Xenopus tropicalis: one gene and its partners. The protein of the gene in region 4 purifies or fractionates together with the protein of the main gene of each other region. This does not show direct contact. Links are inferred from orthologs where the notes say so. Each region holds a gene or a part of one and is shown on either strand. Other genes may lie near its edges.

Region 1 (3,639 bases), on a different chromosome or scaffold from region 4:
TATATATATATATATATATATATATATATATATATATATATATATATATATATATAAGTGGGATAGATACGATTTTAATCAGCAGAGTAAAGAAATATCACTTACGTCTTGGCTCTCGAGGTCCATCCACAGTGATCTTAATGGCACGATGGTAGGTAGCGACCTGCGGGGGATTGGTGAAGACGGTGATAGTCAGGGTGAAGCTTTTTCCTAAAATACAAACAGAATTTAACAGGTTAATCCACTCGTCTGACTCAACAAGATTGATTTGCAGTTATGAAAGCAAAGCACTCTTTCCTATATAAAGGGGAAGTTAATCATAAAATACACTTTCAGAATTAAGTAAACCAAGAATATATCTGACCCCCTAGATGTCGTTGCCCTCCAGAGTTGTATCCCATAGCAAACAATCAGACTTTCTTTTTTATTATTCTTATTACTATAAGATAACACCCGAGTGATTGCTATGGGTTACTAGACTTTATACTCTAGAACAGCAGCTACAACTCCCAGCAGGCTGAGCTTGGAAACCAGTTCAGATGAGTGAAGCATCAGTTTTCTTTGCACCCAGATGAGGTGCCAAGTCTCTTAATGTAAAACATGTTCCTCCTAATAAAATTGATTAATGGATTAATTGCAGAGATGTAAATGCACACAGCAGTACGGACATGTGGCGCCTTAACTGAGCAGAGCAATGAATTATTAGAGGATGGGTTAACGTGTAGACGGCAGATTAGTCAGGGAGCAGGTTATGCTGGTTAAACACAGCCCGCGGTGGGAGGGAATGAAGCATTTATAGAAATGCAGATAACACAACTGTACTCAGTGCTGTTTCCAGAGCTGGGGTTAGAGGTACAGGCAGGAGGGCCCCCAACCTAACAGAAAAAAATCCATAAATTAAATAGGGTTGCCAGCTCAAACTTTTTAAAATCTGACATACTGTATACAGGTATTGGACCTGTTATCCAGAATGCTCGAGACCCGGGGTTTTCCGGATAAGGGGGTCTTTCCATAATTCGGATCTCTTTTAAAAAGTAATTAAACCCAACAGGATTATTTATATCTTAGTTGGGAACAAGTACAAGCTACCATCTTATTATAATACAGTAAAAAGACAATAATTTTTAAAGACTGAAATTGACTCTATGGGACATAGCCTTTCCATAATTCGGAACTTTTTGGATAATGGGTTTCCCTGTACAACCAAATCCAACAGGCAGTTTATTGAAATATATAATATGTGCATGCATAAAAGCCCTTGCAGTCTGCAGCGGTCCTGCAGCTGTTGCTGAACTACAACTTCCAAGTGCAGAGGCTGCCAGGGGCTGCTGGAAGTTGCAGTTTAGCAAAGGACCATACCGGCCAGGGGTAGTACAAGGAATTACATAGAAATCCAGCGTCCCAAACGGGTTCCCAGTAAGAGCAGGCAGAGCAGCACCGCCTAATATGCCCCAGTGAGCCATGGGTGCCTGGCATATTGTCCGTAACCTGATCCCCTGCCTAGCACACTGGGTGGAGGTGACAGAAATGGCGATGAAGACGGCAGAGATGTATCATGCCCCTGCTTGGTGGCAAGCCGCCAGTGCAAATGGATTATAAGCTAATGCCCGCTCTGAAAAAAGAAATGGTTGGATATCTGTGTGAATCATAAATATTTGCCTTTTCGGAAGGTTTATATAAAAGGGCTGGAAGGACTTTCACACTATTGATTTCATTTTCCCATGAAGTGCTTCACTACAAAGTGGTTTCACCCACGTGCTGGGACTTTCACACACTGGAATTATGGCTAGGAATTAAAGGGAAAGTAAGCAAGAAGGTGAGTTGTAATTATCAATGTCAGAACTGAAGGGGCGGCCCTGGGTGATGCCCCACCCACCCAAGCTCCAACCCCTTTCCATGACTCTCTGCTCTTTTTAAACTTTGGGCCTGGGTTGACCTTGTTGTAATCCGCAACTGTGTGGCTATGGCGTAATACCTCTGTTTTTCTCAGACCCATAGCTTGAATGAGCAAACTGGTGATTGGTTGCTAAGGGTTACTAGACCTGGCCTTGTTTTTTTCACTTTAATTCTTGGGCCAAGCTTGCTTTCCTAAAACCAGTGCAACACAGTCTTTTTACAGACTGACCTACAGCATATCCATCTGGCACAAATGACTTCCACATCATGCCAAGTGGAGAGAATGACAGGAAAAGTGACTGTCAACGAAGGAAAGAAAAAACCAATTCCCACAAACTGCCAGGGAAAGTCACATTACACCACCTACCCTTATTATGCAAAGTATACGAGTCAGATAAATTATTGAATACATTTACACTTGACACAATCTGCTTTCCATACAAACAACAGGGGACAGTAGGTGGAATTAAAGTCCTCGTACGGAACAAGTTGGGCCCTATTATAAAATCCTTAGGCCCAACCCTATGAGCGGCTGATTAGGCAACAGATTCCAAAGAAAGAGTGGATTGCCACACACATTAGGGCACACACCCACTGCTCCACTGCCTGCCCTGAGAACATCTGCTTTCCAGTAACCAGGAGCCAATTACTGGTTCCTAAGCAACTTTGCAGTTGGTCATCTTCATTTGATTTATTAGTCTTTTATTCCTGCAATAATTCTACCTGCTTCTTGGTTCTTTATTGTTATAAATTTAAATTGGTAACCTTTTTCCTCCTACTTAGCCAATTTATTGTTGCCAGGGTCATTTAGCCTAGTTACAAGTAGTATTCAGTGAGCCTAAAAAGGCATAGCTTGTGTGGCTGCCTGTGGTTTAAGCCTCAGCCCATGCACTAATATACATACATACAACACAGTAATTATCTCACTATAAACTTAAAAACAAGTTTAAAATGATAACACCTATTTTTTTTTAAAAAAAATTTGGGTATTTTCCATTAAAAAAATGATAGCAGGATTAATTCTATGTATTTACATTACAACTCACCCTGGCCCCAGGAGAGAGTACCTGTTCCAAGATAAGGGGTAATTAAAAGGCTTAAATTACATATTAGAACATTCTTGGGTGTACACATACGATCAGATGTTTGTGTTGCATGATATAGGGCTCTCTTGGTGGCAATATACCCTGTTCGGAATATTTATAATCCAGCCTGCGCCAGTTTTACTGAGCTCCAGCTAGCAGCATTGTATGGAGTTGTAGTTCAGCTGATAAAAAGCGTGTTTGCTCTGCTTATGGCATGGCTGAGAGGAATGGAGAAGCGTGCATAAATACAGTAACAAGCTGATAATGATCATAGTGGCGCAGAGCTGTAAATACAGGAATGCTCAGAAATAAAAGAGGATCCATCATCCCGTGGCACCTCCTAATTATTGGTGTGCCTCTGCAGGCAGACGACTCGATTAATGAGAGACTGCCGTCCTGAGACTCGCGAGCAGCAAGGGGGAGCGGTAACTCTGGCAAAGTTTCTCCCATTCCAGGAACCTGTAAGACTGTTTCTATATCAGACTAAGGGGTTCCTCAAGCACCAATATTGATCACTGATTGTAGGTGGTCATACAAGGGCCAATGTTAGCTGCTGAAATGGCCACTCCAGACAGTGTTGACAGCTTACTGGGCCAAACACCAGTGGTGCCTGAACAATAACCAGGAAATTCAGGGCCCACTCTTGCAACAATAAAGG
Region 2 (4,212 bases), on a different chromosome or scaffold from region 4:
GTTTATCAAAGCACATGGCACTTAGAGACCCCAAAATATACCTTGTGCACACTAATTTCATGGCTTACCTTTACCTAATTCATAAACACATGGCAGTTTTATGTGGGGTAAAAGCTGCAGAAATGTAGGGTGACCCCTGAAAACCACATATTTTTGGAAAGTACACAATCTGACAAATCCAAAAAGGTTAAAGAGTCTTTTTTTACACCAAAGTACCAATCTGCAAAGCTCTCCTAAATTTAGTGGTTTTTATGACTTTTCTGAAAAATGTTTAAAAATGTTGCAATTTGCCACATCTCAATACAATTTCTTGCTAAAGTATGTTGGATGTATAGACCCTAAATGAAAATAGTGCATATGAATTTTCCCTGAATTTGCATTACATTACATTCTCATATAAGGCTATGGAAAAACATATGGAAAAACACAGAGAATTGGCCCCTTCACTGGCATCTTCTTCCCTGCGCCCGGTACCACTGCTTTGTCCAGGGTGCGCACACGTGTCAGTTCCTAAATGCATACTCACACATTTCAGAGCTGAAATCCACTGCGTGTGTGCACTCTGTACATAGCAGTGGTACCGGGCACAGGCAAGTAAGAAGGCTGATGCCAGTGAAGGGGCTGATTCTTGGTCTTCGTTCAGACAATCCAGCCCTGCGTAGCAGTAGCCTTAGTGTAACACTTGGCCAACCCTGTACCATACCAAACAGTAATTAATTACTTGACCTTGGTAACTCCCCTCAGGGTTCAGAGCAGGAATTACAACCACAAACACAGATTTGGGAAAAAACATTTACAAATCTGAAGTTTATTTTTTTTAGGCAAATGTTACACAACAGAGGTTATTTTTCCCATGTGAGGTTGCATACGCAGTTGGCCCATTGTAAGGGTTTCTTTGCACACACACACACACACACTCTCTCACTCTCTCTCACAGAAAGACACACATAGATTCACGGACTGACACACACAGATATACCCACACACGTACATATACACAGATTTACCCACACACACAGATTTACCCACACACAGATTTACCCACACACACACACACAGATTTACCCCCCCCCACACACACACACACACACAGATTTACCCACACACACAGATTTACCCACACACACACACACACACACAGATTTACCCCCCCCCCCCCCCCCACACACACACACACACACAGATACATACAAATATACCCACACACACACACAGATACATACAAATATACCCACACACACACACAGATACATACAAATATACCCACACACACACACAGATACATACAAATATACCCACACACACACACAGATACACACAAATATACAAACACACACACTGATAATGATACACATACACACAAACACCCAGAGATATACAACTCTCCCCTCTCCCAAAAGGCACCTAAAGGCAGCAACTTTAGCTCTGTCCCTTCTCTGAAATCTTCACAGAAAACTCCTGCTCTCTCCTGACCCCGCCCCCTCCCAACAGCGTGTGCATTACAAACCAGCATTGGTAGGTCACTGCTGCAAAAGGCTCCTCTCTCCGTTCAGGGACAGATTTCTGCAAAACTCCTGCCTCTACCTCAACTTCCCCCTTCCCCCGACTGTGTCAGAAGTAGTTCCCCCCCCCTTCACAGCACATGCTTTTAGCTGAGCAGTGAGACACGCTGATGTCCCAGTTTGAATGCCCTGTATGTAATATTCACCAGCCACTGATTTACTTCTTACAAACCTTTCTAGGGAGAGGGCACTGCAAAAGGAGAGAGCAGGCAGGAGTTTTGCATTCAAACGGAGCCTCTGAAGCCATTGAACTACTGATGCTGGCTTTCCTTAGCTCCAGATTGACAGCACTGGCGGCCAATGAGAGAAAGGCATACCTGTCAGTTAGCTAAACCCGACTCCGACTTCATAGCAGGCTAGGAGCAGGGCTGAGAGAAGCAGCTGCTAGAGGGAGCACTGTGAAAACTGATATATATTAAAAACTGTATAAAATTTTTAATACATTATATTTAGAGACTTTCATAACTTTATGTGATGATTCATTTTAATGATTATTAATTTCACGATAGTTCCCCTTTAAGGGGTATATGCAAGGGGTATATATGTGAAGCATTACCGGTGATGTTGCCCAGGGCAACCAATCAGCAATTAGATTTCCACAGTCAGAAAACCAAAGCATCTAATTGGCTGCTATAAGCAACATCACCAGTAATGTTTCACTCTACTTTTAACACAGCATGTAAATATACCCCAAACTGATCAAGCTGTTTCAGGTAGAAAAAAACCAACTCTGTAAAAAAATTGTTGCCAAGTAAAATACAATATTAACAGTTTTATGACAGAAGAAAATGTAACAGTGGTATACCCTTGCCAGTCATCAATTTACAAATAAAATATACAGTACAGTTTTTCTGGGGTGCACCACTACAGAACATGGTATGAAATTTGGAAACTTATGCCACGTTTTAATTACTGCTGATGGGCAGCCTGGATATTCATACATTACTTTCAGCATCCCTACTGCCTCTGTTCAAAAAAGGATAAGGCTGCAACAGCCAGTGCATACCACTGAAAGGTATGAATTAGATTTCCTGGCTATACCCCGGTTTCCCACTTTCCAATGAATTTCCTTGCTGTCCCTGCTGAGCGTTCATAGCATAAAAAGTCTCGACTCACAGTCAGGAAATAAAGCGTAACCATCTAGTTCATATCTTATATGCCATACTACCAGCATGACGGTGATCCAGAAGATGATTCCAATTCTTTACCATGTGGCGCAATAAAACCATATTCAGAATTGGCTGAACTTACTTTCTCATGAAAGATAACCTCCATGTTTGTTTGCCTCTGCTTCCAGACACACCCCCCGAGGCTTACGTCTATACGAGTCGGAAGTTTCACTTCCAATAGATTAGGCGCTACCCAATCATGTGATTAGTGCGGAAGATGCTCGTCAGCTGACCATTTTTGTCACGTGATTCTTTATGCGTGACTTCCGTAATGGATTTGGGTGAAGAGTCTTGTTTGTATTATTGATAGGTATTAGAAATTGACGAAGAGTTAATTCTCAGAGTGGTGATAGCGACTACCGAAATATGTATTAGGAAATATACTAAGTAAAAAAATACTGGAGTCTGAATGGTTAACACTTAAGTCTTAGGACTATATTTAAATGACAAAAATAGAGCTAAACATTTTTAGATTTTGCAAGCAGAAGAATGTTAAATGTGCTGTGCGTTAAAAACACTACAATGGTTTCCATAAATGGCTGATTTGTAACCAAATAGGCAGCCTTCAGTTTAAATAGGGCAAAAAGGCATGTGTTTATATATTAATAAAATAGTAATAGAAAATAACAGCTACGGTGTGTAAATACAGGTTCTTACAGAAGGACATTCATTTTGGCATTTAACTGCCAATAGATTTGCTACATTAGTGCTACCTTTCCAGTTTTGAGCCAGACAGGCCCAGGCCCAAATGAGGAAAACCAGGCACAACTCAGTAACATTGACAAGGTGGCCATAGCCCTGCGACAGCACAGCTCCGCCTCCTCCCAGCCCCAGTGATATCACCCCCGCCCGGCTAAGAAAGCTGGCAGAGGTGGCAACCCTAGTGCCACCAAGAACGTTACACCTAGAATGCCATACCTGAGTAAAGTGCTAGAAGCTCCCTCCGTTTGTTTAAGATTGCAGCTGTCGTTTTAGCTTGGTCTTCATAGCTTCCTGCTGCAGCTTTAGAGGCTGGTAGCTCAGATTACACATTACTTAGGGAGGGGCAAGTGAGTTTTATGAATTCTTAAAGGAACAGTAACATCAAAAAATTAAAGTGTTTTAAAGTAATTAAAATATAATGTGCTGTTGCTCTGCAAAAAACTGGTGTTTTTGCTACAGAAAAGCTAATATATAATAAGCTGCTGTGTAGCCATGGGGGCAGCCATTCAAGCTGGAAAAAAGGAGAAAAGGCACAGGTTACATAGCAGATAACAGATAAGTTCTGTAGAATACAATAGTGTTTTATCTGTTATCTGCTATGTGCCTGTGCCTTTTCTCCTTTGAATGGCTTCCTCCATGGCTACATAGCAGCTTACTTATATAAGCTATAGTAGTCTTTCTGAGGCAAACACACCAGTTGTAGCAATGCAGGGCAACAGTACATTATATTGTTATTACTTTTATACACTTTAATTTTTTGGTGTTACTGTTCCTTTAAG
Region 3 (3,639 bases), on a different chromosome or scaffold from region 4:
AGGGCTGTAAACAAGAAAGGCACAGATCAAAGTACCGGCAGCATAACAAGGGGCCAACCTTTGCCCCCAACCCCTGCCTTCAGCAGGTTCACTGGTCAGAACAGCATAACGGGCAGGTCACGGCGCCAGGGTGGGGCACAGTAACTTCATCTCTGGCTGCGCCTCGGGCACAGGGACATAATGCAGAGCCTGGGCGCACAAAGGGTTAACTAACACACACAAGCAAAGGAGCCGGCTCCCATGGCTCCATGCCGGAACATTCCAGTGGGATCACTAGCACTACTCTAACCCACTGGGTCACCCACTGCCACCATGATGCCCTACTGTACCCATCATGCCCTACTGTACCCATCATACCCTACTGTACCCATCATGCACTACTGTACCCATCATGCCCTACTGTACCCATCATGCCCTACTGTACCCATCATGCCCTACTGCCTCCATCATACCCTATTGTATCCATCATGTACTACTGTACCCATCATGCCCTACTGCCACCATCATACCGTACTGTACCCATCATGCATTACTGTACCTATCACACCCTACTGTACCCATCATGCATTACTGTATCCATCATGCCATGCTGTACCTATCATGCCCTACTTTACCCATCATACCCTACCGTACCCATCATGCCCTACTGTACCCAAAATGCTCTACTTTACCCATCATGCCCTACTGTACCCATCATGCACTACTGTACCCAACATGCTCTACTTTACCCATCATACCCTACTGTACCCATCACGCCCTACTGTACCCAACATACTCTACTGTACCTATCATACCCTACTGTACCCATCATGCCCTACCGTACCCATCATGCCCTACTGTACCCATCATACCCTACTGTACCCATCATGCCCTACCGTACCCATCATGCCCTACTGTACCCATCATACCCTACTGTACCCATCCCGCCCTACTGTACCCAACATACTCTACTGTACCTATCATACCCTACTGTACCCATCATGCCCTACCGTACCCATCATGCCCTACTGTACCCATCATACCCTACTGTACCCATTATGCCCTACTGTGCCTATCATACCCTACTGTACCCATCATGCCCCACTGTACCCAACATGCCCTACTGTAACTATCAGACCCTACTGTACCCATCATGCCCTACTGTACCCATCATGCCCTACTGTACCCATCATGCACTACTGTACCCATCATGCACTACTGTACCCATCATACCCTACTGTACCCATCATGCCCTACTGTACCCATCATACCCTACTGTACCCATCATGCCCTACTGCAGGAGGCTCAAACTCAATTTACCTGGGGGCCGCAGGAGGCAAAGTCAGGATGAGGCTGGGCCGCATAAGGGATTTCACAAAAAATTGGCTTTCAAGGGATAATGCAAGGCACGGCGGGCGGGAGCTGCTGATTGCGGAAATGACGTTATGCCATCATAACAGTTATTATGGGAAGACGTTCTGTGTGCACAATTAGCTCTTCCCATAATAACTGTTATGATGGCATAACGTCATTTCCGCAATCAGCAGCTCCCGCCCGCCGTGCCTTGCATTATCCCTTGAATCGCAATAAAAATCGTGATCCATTCATTGCTTTTGAGAAGGCGTTGGTGCGCGCCACAAAATACTGTACCGAGGGCCGCAAATGGCCCGCGAGTTTGAGACCCCTGCCCTACTGTACCCATCATGCCCTACTGTACCTATCATGCCCTACTGTACCCAACATGCTCTACCGTACCCATCATGCCCTACTGTACCCATCATGCCCTATGTCCCCACTATTCCCACCTACAACTGCTCTTTGGAAAGGCCCAAAGCATCTGCCCTACTGGCACATCCCCAAGGGCAGCTGTGAAGAAAGTCACCTTTGGTCACCTCCAGACCATGCCACACACTCCCTATCTGAGCAATCCGATTGCAGGGAATGGTTACAGTGTTGTTTGTCATAACAATGATTAAAGGTTACCGAGTATCAGGATTCCTTGGCCACAATGTAGCATTTATTGCTCCTATAAAGGAAACCAAGGCAGAGGGCATGGCATACAGTGCCAGCAGATCCAATGAGACCGCTGTGTGAAAGCTGCCATATTGCTTGCCCAGTGGGGGGTATATCAGGCCATGCCAGAGTTATAGTTGTGCCAGCTCTGGCTTTGCAGAACTAAAGCGAGATCCAACTGGGCTCACAGTGCCCCCCCCCCCCCCCCGTGAGTAACCCATGCCAACCAACACCAGAGCCAGTGTGGCACAATATGGGCATAAGCACCCACCACAGCCACAGTAACCATCTACAGTACTTTAGCATAGGGATAGGGAAAGCGCCTATTTGGAGCGGGTACATTACAAGAAGAAATGGGCCCAGCCTGGGTTCCTCCCACTAAGCAGACAGCAGGAGGCCCCACAGAGCATGGATCAGGGCTATGGGAGAGCCTTTCCCCCCCAAACGCGCCTCCAGCGCACAGCACAAAGCCTGAGCCGAAGACGTCAGCAGTGGGTGTTGGTTTCCCTGACACTGGGAGAAGTGTTTGCGGTTCTGCTCAGAGGGGCCCGGTGCTGACTGGCAGTGCCCAAATGACACGCTTGGCTGAAGCCAGGCAGCTCTTAATGGCCGGGCTTGTGTTGCACAGATGCTGCTTTGGGCATGATGTCCCCAGCACACAAAAGCCGCAGCGTGCTTCTCTCATGCCAATTATACATCAATTAAACACAACCAAGCTGCAGCCCCCCATACCCCTATATGCCGGGGGGGGGGAGCAACACATTATACAGTGTTCAACGGTAAATTCTGAAAACATTAACTTCCCTTCCAGGGCAAAAATTTGTACACCCCTAAGGGACAGACATCCTTCCAAAGAGAAAGCAATATGGCAGCTCCCAATACCTCCTGAGCAGCCCACATTTTCTACACACTCCAGCCACTAGAGGCCGCTGTTCCCCTGAGGTTAATGGAGATAAAGGACCAGCATGGCAGCTGCAGGGAGCTTTCTGGGCCCCTCTTTCTTAACCCAGGGTCCCTCCATGTTGCTGGACTACAACTGCCAGCTTTCTTCACCCTATAGCCAAGCATGCTGGGAGTTGTAGTCCAACAACATGCTGAGGATTCTGAGAAGGCTATTTAAATAGCAGCTTGTGCTTAAACTAACAGAAGATAAATGCACAAATCCAGCCTTGAGTTGGCGGCCAACGATCTATAGAGCTCTGTGATGGCTCAGGGTGCCGGGGAAATATAAACTCAGCTGCATGTTATTCCATGGAACCTGTTGCAGACAGTCAGGCTTTTGTACAAAGGCTGCGGCGTTTCCAACTTACCTCGGAGAGAGCACAGGGCACCCCTCTGCCAGTAATCCACCTTGTACCAACACAGGGCAGCTGTGCCCGGGGGGAAGGGGGCGCTCTGCATTAACAGTAAGTGAGCTTACAAGTATGTTTGGCACCAGCGACAGAACATAGCACCCATACCTGTAGCGCAGAGGGCAACAAATGTCTGGGCGTGTTTGCGGATGATCTGCTTGGTATCCTCAGTCAGTGGCATTTTGTTTAGAAAATGTTCAATAAAGTCATGGGGGGTCACAGAGGCCAAGTCCCATTTCAACTTGTTCAGAATCAGCAGTTCCATTAGCTGTGGGGGGGAGAATAAAAGAGAGAT
Region 4 (4,388 bases):
TTTGTATGTTATATGGTTAAAAAAAAAAAAAGAAGAAGAAGAAGAAAATGTATGCATAGAAAATAAATGTTAATTATCATTTTGGTGTATTAAGTATGATGCTTTTAGTCAGAAGGACTTTGTTACCATAGTATATGGGCTCACTACCCAGATAACCAGAAGGACACTACTTTTGAAAACTTTCAATAAAAAAAGACTATATTTACATAAATGGAGGTCTGGGCGTAGTCTTAGTCTCCATTCATTATGACGTCACATGTTATATTTCCCCGGTAGCCTAGACAAAGGAGCAGGGTAGGCCCCACAAATTGCCACCTTATGTGTTTTTTAGAGCCAATAAGGCACCAACTTCATGCACAATTACCGGCTTATTTTTTGGGACTTGCTGTTTGACCCTTTGAAGCTGCTGGGCACAAACCTGATGTTCACATAAGGGACATCCTTTGCCATGGGGGTTGTAGCCAAATATAAAATATATTACTAATATTTACTTTGCAATTATTACTGTTGGTTTTCTACATATGCTTATTTTATATATTTAGGAACTATATTGAGACATTCCTTCTCAGCATATATCAATATAAATGTGGCAGCATGAGATACCATACTACTTACATTATTCATAAACAGCAATAGGACAATGCAATATATTTCAAACTGCTGTTTTATAAAGGACTAAGGAAAAAATATTTGTTAGGGTAAGAGTTAGGACAGCTTCCTTACTTATGTATATTACAAACATTCGGAGAAGAATGTTCTGTTAACAATTAGCATTTTACTTATGCCTTGCTATTTGTGTGAAAAAAAAAAAACTCTACACTCAAACTATTATACTTACAATCATCTTCTTATAAAGTCCATAGTGTAGAACCAGACTGTGTGTAAGGGATAATCGGTGAGGTTTCATGGGATGACCTGTGCCTGAATGATAATGCAAATATTAAGGATCGTATCTGGCAATAAATGCTAGGTTAGCATTTTAATGGTTGCAATTGTGATGTTCTGATTTTCCCTTAAAACAATTCCATATCAATCTTCTTGAATATAGGCTACAAATACATATAAAAAATGATGGACAAACATTGGCCACAACATAAACTCTGTATTGCAAAGTGCAATAGACACCATATTTCTGTCCCTACCACTTTCCATATGCTGTCATGTTATGTTCCCCAAATGTTCACCCACTGTTTTAGTGTTTCAGATGCTGGCAAATATGACAGAATGGTGTGCAGTCAATAGATGCAAAACTGTGTCTTTAAACAAACATTTGAAGGACAACTATATTTACAACAAACACATTCATTTGGTGACCCACTGAGAAATAGCATGACATGGTCACAAAGTGTTGCCACCTTACAGAATTTTGGGCCCAATAATGATTTTGAGCAAACCACTATCTGTACATGGCTCTGGTTTGATATTGCACTCCAAAAATGTTGTGAGCAGTCTCTATAAAGCACAGCAGAATATGTTGGTTTTTAACAGAAAAAAAAACACACAAAAGCCACAAATATCCTGTAAACTATATCTTTATAATTTACAGTTTGCCCATTTCCCTAATGGCCACACTGTGAATTATCCTTATAAACGGTGTGTATCTACATCAGTATACACCATTTATAACTTAAAGGCACAAGCACTGCTACCCCCCCCCACCCCACAAACACACACACACATCTCTGCATGGATCCATCACAGTTCCTAAGGATACTGCAACAGGAACACAGCCTGTAAAGAGGAAGGGTGAGGAATAGATGCAGGAGGGAGCGAGCTGCCAGACAAGGGAATATGCTGAATCAGCAGGTGGGTGAGAACTTTAAGAAGACCTAACTTAAACACCTAAGTGAGAAGAAGCAGTGGTCGAGGGGATATGGAAACTCCCAAAGAGAACAGAGGGAAGGGAGAGAAGGAATAGATGTAAAACTGGGGGGGCTGGAGGGAGTGGAGATCAAAGGGATACCCAGAAGCCAGCAGAGGGGGAATGGATGGTTGGATTTACTTAAAGGACTTAAAGGAGAAGGAAATGTAAAAAAGTGTCTTTTATCACGTATCTTTTACACGGGGTTGGTGCTTCTGTTAGAAGAAAACCACACCAGCCTGGGTAACTGCAGTGAATGTTTCCTCTTCCTTCTTTCTTTCTTTCTTTTGAATCCTGGGGCCCACTCATGCGCAGTAGAGTGAAAAAGCCGTCTTTTTTGTTAAAGTTCAGCTTTTCACTTTACGGCACATGAGCAAGCAGCACACAGACATAAGATGGATGAGGAGACACTCGCGGGCTGGTATGGTTTTCTTCTGACAGATTGGTAATTAGATGTAAAAACCAAAAGTATAAACAGTGTGCAGATACAGCTTTCCAATGCTATTACATCTACAAATAACGCTAAAATCATTTAAACAAAATTTGGGTTAAGTTGCCCTTTAAACTACTGCACTTCTCACTGATTTCAGGAATATTTTTTCTCAAGACGTGTCCTTTGTGCATCTGTGTAATGTATCTATATGCCAGTGCCTCTGCCAGTGCCTCTCCTCATGCATCTATCGGGATTCCTGTGTCAGTGTGCTATGTGTTTCTATAAAAACCCATCATTTGTTTGCCTTTACGTCTTTACACCAATACTTACCATAATGGAAGTTCCCCACGTCCGGATCGTAAAAATAAGCCACAGTCTTTGCCATAACGCTGTCAAAAGCAGACCTAAAACACCCAAGTACTCCCTACAGAACTAGCAGCAGCGCTTCCGGCAGCGCACAGGAAATACGTTTGCTCCTTTTTCTCTCAGCAGCCCTGCAGGGCCCCATACGTCACCAGTTGCTATGCGGATCTGAATCCATTCAGTAGTTTCCCGTATTGGGCTCTACCCCCAGAGGGCGTGTATCCCAAGCTTGGAATCCCAGCGTTCCGTGCAGTCGCTTAGTGACCTTAGTGTAAATAAGCAATGTTACTAATAAAGTCATTATTAGCATTATTAGTATCGCCAGTCTTTTCCATTATTTCCTATTCTGACCTGTATAGTCATTTCCACCGTTCTTAATACACGGAAGTTAGAGCACTTGAGCGTTTCATTACACTGTGTTCCTGAGACCGGTTGCTTAGTTGGTTTTTGTAGGAGGTCCATAAACCAACAGAAGCCGTAACTGAAGGGGCTGCGGAAAGTGGGGTGATTTCGCAATGGGCGGAAGTGGGGCAGAGTAAGAGTATGTAGATTGTAAGCTCTGCAGGACAGGGATCACAGGGCACTTACTCTCTATTTATACTTGTTTATTGTATTTATTATGACACTTGTCCTCCCTGTGTGTAACTATATATTGTAAGATTGTGCAGCGCTGCCTATCCTAGTAGCACTTTATAGATAAAGTTATACATACATAATGTGGCTGGCAGGAAGGATTATGGGTGTGGGCCTGTGCCCAGGCATGTTACTTAGTGGGGCATATTTGTTGGTGGGGCCTAAGTCTACTACTAGTTAGCGGCAGTTGGTGGGCAAAACAATGCGGTGCTTTGCGGGGAGGTCCTGCTGACTAAGCAGAAGAGGGCTCTAATATTGGTGGCCCTAACCAGAAGTGATGTGGCCAAGCACATGGCCTGCTATTAACCGGCCTCCCTAACTCCAATCTTTCCCCCGTACAGTCTATATTAAATACTGCTGCCAGAATTCTCCTCCTCTCATCCAGGAGAGTTCAGGCCCTTCCCCTGCTAAAGTCCTTATCGTGGCTTCCTATTAAACAAAGAATATCTTACAAACTCCTTCTAACCTTCAAAGCCCTCCATTCGTCTGCTCCTCACAACATCTCTTCCCTTGTGTCTCCGTACGTTCCTGGCCGACTCCTTCGTTCCTCGCAGAGCAATCGTTTGGTTGCGCCCCCCAATATTACTGCGGTTTCCCGCCTTAAACCTTTCTGCCTTGCTGCCCCTTACATTTGGAATGCCCTCCCTGATTTCCTCCGGAGAGAATCCTCCCCCAGTCTTTTTAAAACCAAACTAAAAGACTACCTTTTGGAGCACTCGCCCAGCACCTGTTCTGGGAACTAGCACTTATATTGTACTGTCACCCACTGTGACCTACAGCACTTATATTTGCCTATTTGTATCTGTAAGTTACCCTCCCATATAGATTGTAAGCTCTACGGGGCAGGGACCTCCATCCTCTTGTGTCTTTGACTCTTAACTTATTGCAACTGTAACTGTATCTTGTATTTATTTGTATTTATTGTTATACTTTGTATTTATCTATTATCTTATTAACCCCCTGTTTGTATTAATGTATTCTACTGTACAGCGCTGCCTACATAAGTAGCGCTTTATAAATAAAGATATACATACATACATACATGGCCACCCAGATTAGGAGCAATACACAAGAGAAGAAAACTAAACCCTCCCATTC
Region 5 (3,639 bases), on a different chromosome or scaffold from region 4:
GCAACTCGCAGGAACTCCAACTCCTGCAGCAAGAAAAAAAAAATCAAGAATATAATTAGTACTGATCTATGATCAATGCAGTGCAAAGAATCGATTGCTTGACTTTGACAGTAATATTATATGAGAGATTTTAGATTAGATTGAAACACAAAATACATATGCATAGTTAATAAATCTTTAGGTAAGTGCCATAAAAAATAAGCACAGAGGAAGATCTTTTAGAAAACGCATCCAACATTTTAACTTGCCCTAATGCTATTGAGTAGTTAGACAGGAATTCTGCACATACAAAACATGTTTGCAGTTGAATACAAATGCATTATAAGCTTCTATAGTTCCTAGTTGGTATTGTTGTTGTTATAAAGATTGACAGAATGACATATGGGGGTGGAGGACTGGACCAGAAGTGACACTTCCCCTCTCGCTCAGATACCAGCATGCACAACAACATATTTCTGTTAAGCAACACCCTGCAACTAGGTCATGGGAAATCCTTTTCCCTTGCAATAATCTCACTTCCCAGCCAAGCCATTGTTAGTTCTGCAGCAGCGCTGACTTTCTCTTGACCAGAATTAGAAACTCAGAAACACAGGGAAGGAAACAACCATGATTCATCTCGGTTGATGGCAAAGAGCAAAGCTGCCTCCTGTCTGAAGTACAATTATCATCTAGCAGCTGGAGAAAAATATTAATTCCCCTGTAAGTTCCCATGATTTATGGAGAGTATTTTATCTTTGAGGCTTCTCCAATGATAGGGCAATTCTAAGTAGTGTCTATATTTTGGCAACAGCACTACAAAATGCCTTCCAGTGTTTGCAATGTGGCATTACCTGCTGAAGGCTTCTCTTGGCCTGTAAAGCAGCATTGAGTTTCTCTTCTTGTTTTACTCGCATTTTTACAACTTCATGGAGGAATTTTTCTTTGGCTTCCTTGGAATCTAGACCACTGTCCAGGGCTTGCCTTAGGTGCTCCAGTTCAGCTTCCAATCCACTGCTGTGTTGGTCACTGTGAGAAGCCACCTCATAAGATGTATTGATCACAGTTGGTGCTAGCATGCCTGGGGAACTTAATTCCTTGGCTGAACTTGAGGATGTAAAGGAGGGAGACGAGAGCGAAGACAAGGAAGAGGTAACTATATGGAGGGGAACATAAGAAATATAGTAAGTATTTTGTAGGCCTCCTAAAAACAGCTACATTAAAAATAGTATAACTTCATATTTGTGCACCCAATAACATTCATTAGCAAGAAGATTTAAGACACATTGCAATCCTGACATGGAATATTTTTCTATTTCCTTATACAGCCAGGTACTAAAACTGTTCATACTCATCCAAAGAATATTCTCTGCAGTTCTCTGAAGCATATTCCCACAAACTGAAGCTATTTATCCATGAACCGAAACCCAGACATAGGTCAAGCTTTCTACTTTTTCTTAACAGACATTGTTTTTATCTGCCTCAATATAATAACATGGACAATAAATTACATCAGAGCTCTTAACTGCTGCTTGGGGTGATCATGGTTAAATAATCCAATAGGATATCAAGTAAAAACAAAACATAATTCTTACACATCAGAAAAACAAATTTCTATCCTGCATAAGCACTAGCAACTTATTTCATTGCATCTCCACAATACTACGTAAAAAATAGCAATTTAACATAGAAAGGAAAAAATATTAGCTTTAAGCACTTCAATACAAAAAAATTTCAACTCACACATACATTCTTCTCTGCTTTCCACTTCAATTTCTGTTTCAGACTCTTTCTCTTCTTCTCTGATTGGTGCTGGTGGTGCTGGCGCCTCTGGAGCTATGGGCAGTTCTGCAGTAGGCCTCCGTTTCCTGGACTGGGGCGGACTGCCTGATGACTGAGTGCTTCTGGGTACAGCAGGTACACATGGGGGGCTTGTAATCACTTTTTGTTGAACAGGAGGTGCCAGGGCAACATTTGGGGCAACCAGATTTTCAAAGCTCTTATAATTATAAAAACTGTAAAAAAAAAAAAAAATATAAATATATTTGAAGTTACCAAACTGGAAAAAAAAATGGTTTCCAAAACTTGTATCAAACAAGGATCCCCTTAATATTATAGAAACAAACAACAGCCTCCTTGCTGATATGATCAGTATACTGACTATAGGTAATGTTCAGATAAGCCATGGTGTTACCTGTCTCTAATCAGAGCTGGCAGGTGAGCAGACAACTCTTTGTCGTTTGCTGAAATGGCGGGGGACCAAGGCCGGAAAGCAGACAGACGCTGACGTGGATGTACATATCCCGTGTTCTATAATCAATACATAGAAAAAAACTTTAGGTCAAAACTATCCCAAAACACAATCTAAGATTATCATCTGTAACAGAGAAACTATTATACAATGGTCAACTTGGTTTCAAAGACTACATAAATTGTAGCACAGAGAATCATTGCAGAACAAAGTAACAGAAAATAGAAATTAGTTTACAGAAAGCAATATTTCCAACAATATACTTGCATTAATATGGATATTTTTCAATGAAAACTGAGAACTTACATTCCATATAATTATTCAACCTTTGCATTATTAAGTACAGCAATTTGCCTAGCCAACAAGACACTGAGCTGGCTCTTCATATCAGTTTTTAATTATGATACACATCAATAACAACATCTCTGTGGTATACTACTGACAACTCCTTTAGTCATTGTTACTACACAGTGTACGCTATACTTTTGCATTTATACAGAGAATGTTTTTTTTTGGCTTGTTTCTTTTTTAAAGTGTAATCTATGTAGGGGGAGAAAATAAGACAAAGTATTTTTTTCCCTTAAAGCCAGGTGTGCAATCTAGATGTCATCTATGACATTAAGCTTGCTTCTGTGGGAAGCAAACTTTTAAACTGCTTGAGTCACCCATTTGATTTTATTCTAACTAAATAAAGATAATTAGAAAAGATTAATACTATTTAGGTGTAAACTGTCAGTTGTAACAGGGTCTTGTATTAATCACTGAAGTGCAAACCTGAAAAGAATCTAGTTTATGAAAACATTGTTCTCCGACTTCCCCTCTCATCAATCCTGCTACACATGCCTCAGTCACTCCTTAGGTTGTCATATTGGACCTTATTGCCTAGCAACTTTTATTGGAAACGATGAGCTGGAATAAATGTAAAGCCAAATAATATTTATTGGCAGGGAACAAATGTAAGTTCCAAGAGTGATGATATGACCGTGACTGTGGAGTTTGCAGTGTCCCTAAGTCGTTGGCGATCCACTTACTTCATTCTTATATAGGCTAAACATTTCAACAGAACAGAAAATACACAAATACATGTATATGAAAACAATGTGTGTAGAAAGTACACATAGCACAGCAGAATAGATTTTTCATCTATTTGTCAAAGAAATATGTTGTTTCCCTACATGTGCCAACATGAGTTTTGAGATAGGGTATGACTGAGGTACCTTGTTGTTATTGGACAGGTTCCGTAGCCAACTGGATGACTTGTCTTTTTCAGCAGAGCTAGGGGAATGGATGATGGAGTCATCAGCCTTGGGTTTTTTGGCAACAGGCTCAGAGGAAATCTAAAAGAAAATAGTCATCTTATTAGATTTGTGGACTGTAAATTTCCCATTATTTAACAGATAATAAGCTCTAAG

The links.
Region 1: the proteins of hdac3 (region 4) and runx1 purify together in Homo sapiens (affinity purification with western blotting; 3 studies listed by BioGRID). This does not show direct contact. The link is inferred for Xenopus tropicalis from reciprocal best matches to the Homo sapiens genes HDAC3 and RUNX1.
Region 2: the proteins of hdac3 (region 4) and atxn3 purify together in Homo sapiens (affinity purification with western blotting; 3 studies listed by BioGRID). This does not show direct contact. The link is inferred for Xenopus tropicalis from reciprocal best matches to the Homo sapiens genes HDAC3 and ATXN3.
Region 3: the proteins of hdac3 (region 4) and ccnd1 purify together in Homo sapiens (affinity purification with western blotting; 5 studies listed by BioGRID and IntAct, with this or other methods). This does not show direct contact. The link is inferred for Xenopus tropicalis from reciprocal best matches to the Homo sapiens genes HDAC3 and CCND1.
Region 5: the proteins of hdac3 (region 4) and ski purify together in Homo sapiens (affinity purification with western blotting; 4 studies listed by BioGRID and IntAct, with this or other methods). This does not show direct contact. The link is inferred for Xenopus tropicalis from reciprocal best matches to the Homo sapiens genes HDAC3 and SKI.

Annotation. Positions count from the first base shown.
Region 1 is NC_030678.2:13,923,625-13,927,263, reverse strand, and holds part of runx1 (runt-related transcription factor 1), read right to left. Parts: intron 211-3,639; coding exon 106-210; intron 1-105.
Region 2 is NC_030684.2:87,324,640-87,328,851, forward strand, and holds the start of atxn3 (ataxin-3), read right to left. Parts: upstream 2,843-4,212; 5' UTR 2,838-2,842; coding exon 2,814-2,837; intron 2,807-2,813; exon of another isoform or gene 2,737-2,806; coding exon of another isoform or gene 2,731-2,736; exon of another isoform or gene 2,703-2,730; coding exon of another isoform or gene 2,679-2,702; intron 1-2,678. UniProt on the Homo sapiens protein: Deubiquitinating enzyme involved in protein homeostasis maintenance, transcription, cytoskeleton regulation, myogenesis and degradation of misfolded chaperone substrates.
Region 3 is NC_030680.2:14,443,306-14,446,944, reverse strand, and holds part of ccnd1 (G1/S-specific cyclin-D1), read right to left. Parts: intron 3,613-3,639; coding exon 3,453-3,612; intron 1-3,452. UniProt on the Homo sapiens protein: Regulatory component of the cyclin D1-CDK4 (DC) complex that phosphorylates and inhibits members of the retinoblastoma (RB) protein family including RB1 and regulates the cell-cycle during G(1)/S transition.
Region 4 is NC_030679.2:27,765,624-27,770,011, forward strand, and holds the start of hdac3 (histone deacetylase 3), read right to left. Parts: upstream 2,898-4,388; 5' UTR 2,680-2,897; coding exon 2,625-2,679; intron 922-2,624; coding exon 839-921; intron 1-838. UniProt on the Homo sapiens protein: Histone deacetylase that catalyzes the deacetylation of lysine residues on the N-terminal part of the core histones (H2A, H2B, H3 and H4), and some other non-histone substrates.
Region 5 is NC_030683.2:91,195,471-91,199,109, forward strand, and holds part of ski (ski oncogene), read right to left. Parts: intron 3,565-3,639; coding exon 3,445-3,564; intron 2,287-3,444; coding exon 2,171-2,286; intron 1,992-2,170; coding exon 1,720-1,991; intron 1,133-1,719; coding exon 831-1,132; intron 24-830; coding exon 1-23. UniProt on the Homo sapiens protein: May play a role in terminal differentiation of skeletal muscle cells but not in the determination of cells to the myogenic lineage. Functions as a repressor of TGF-beta signaling.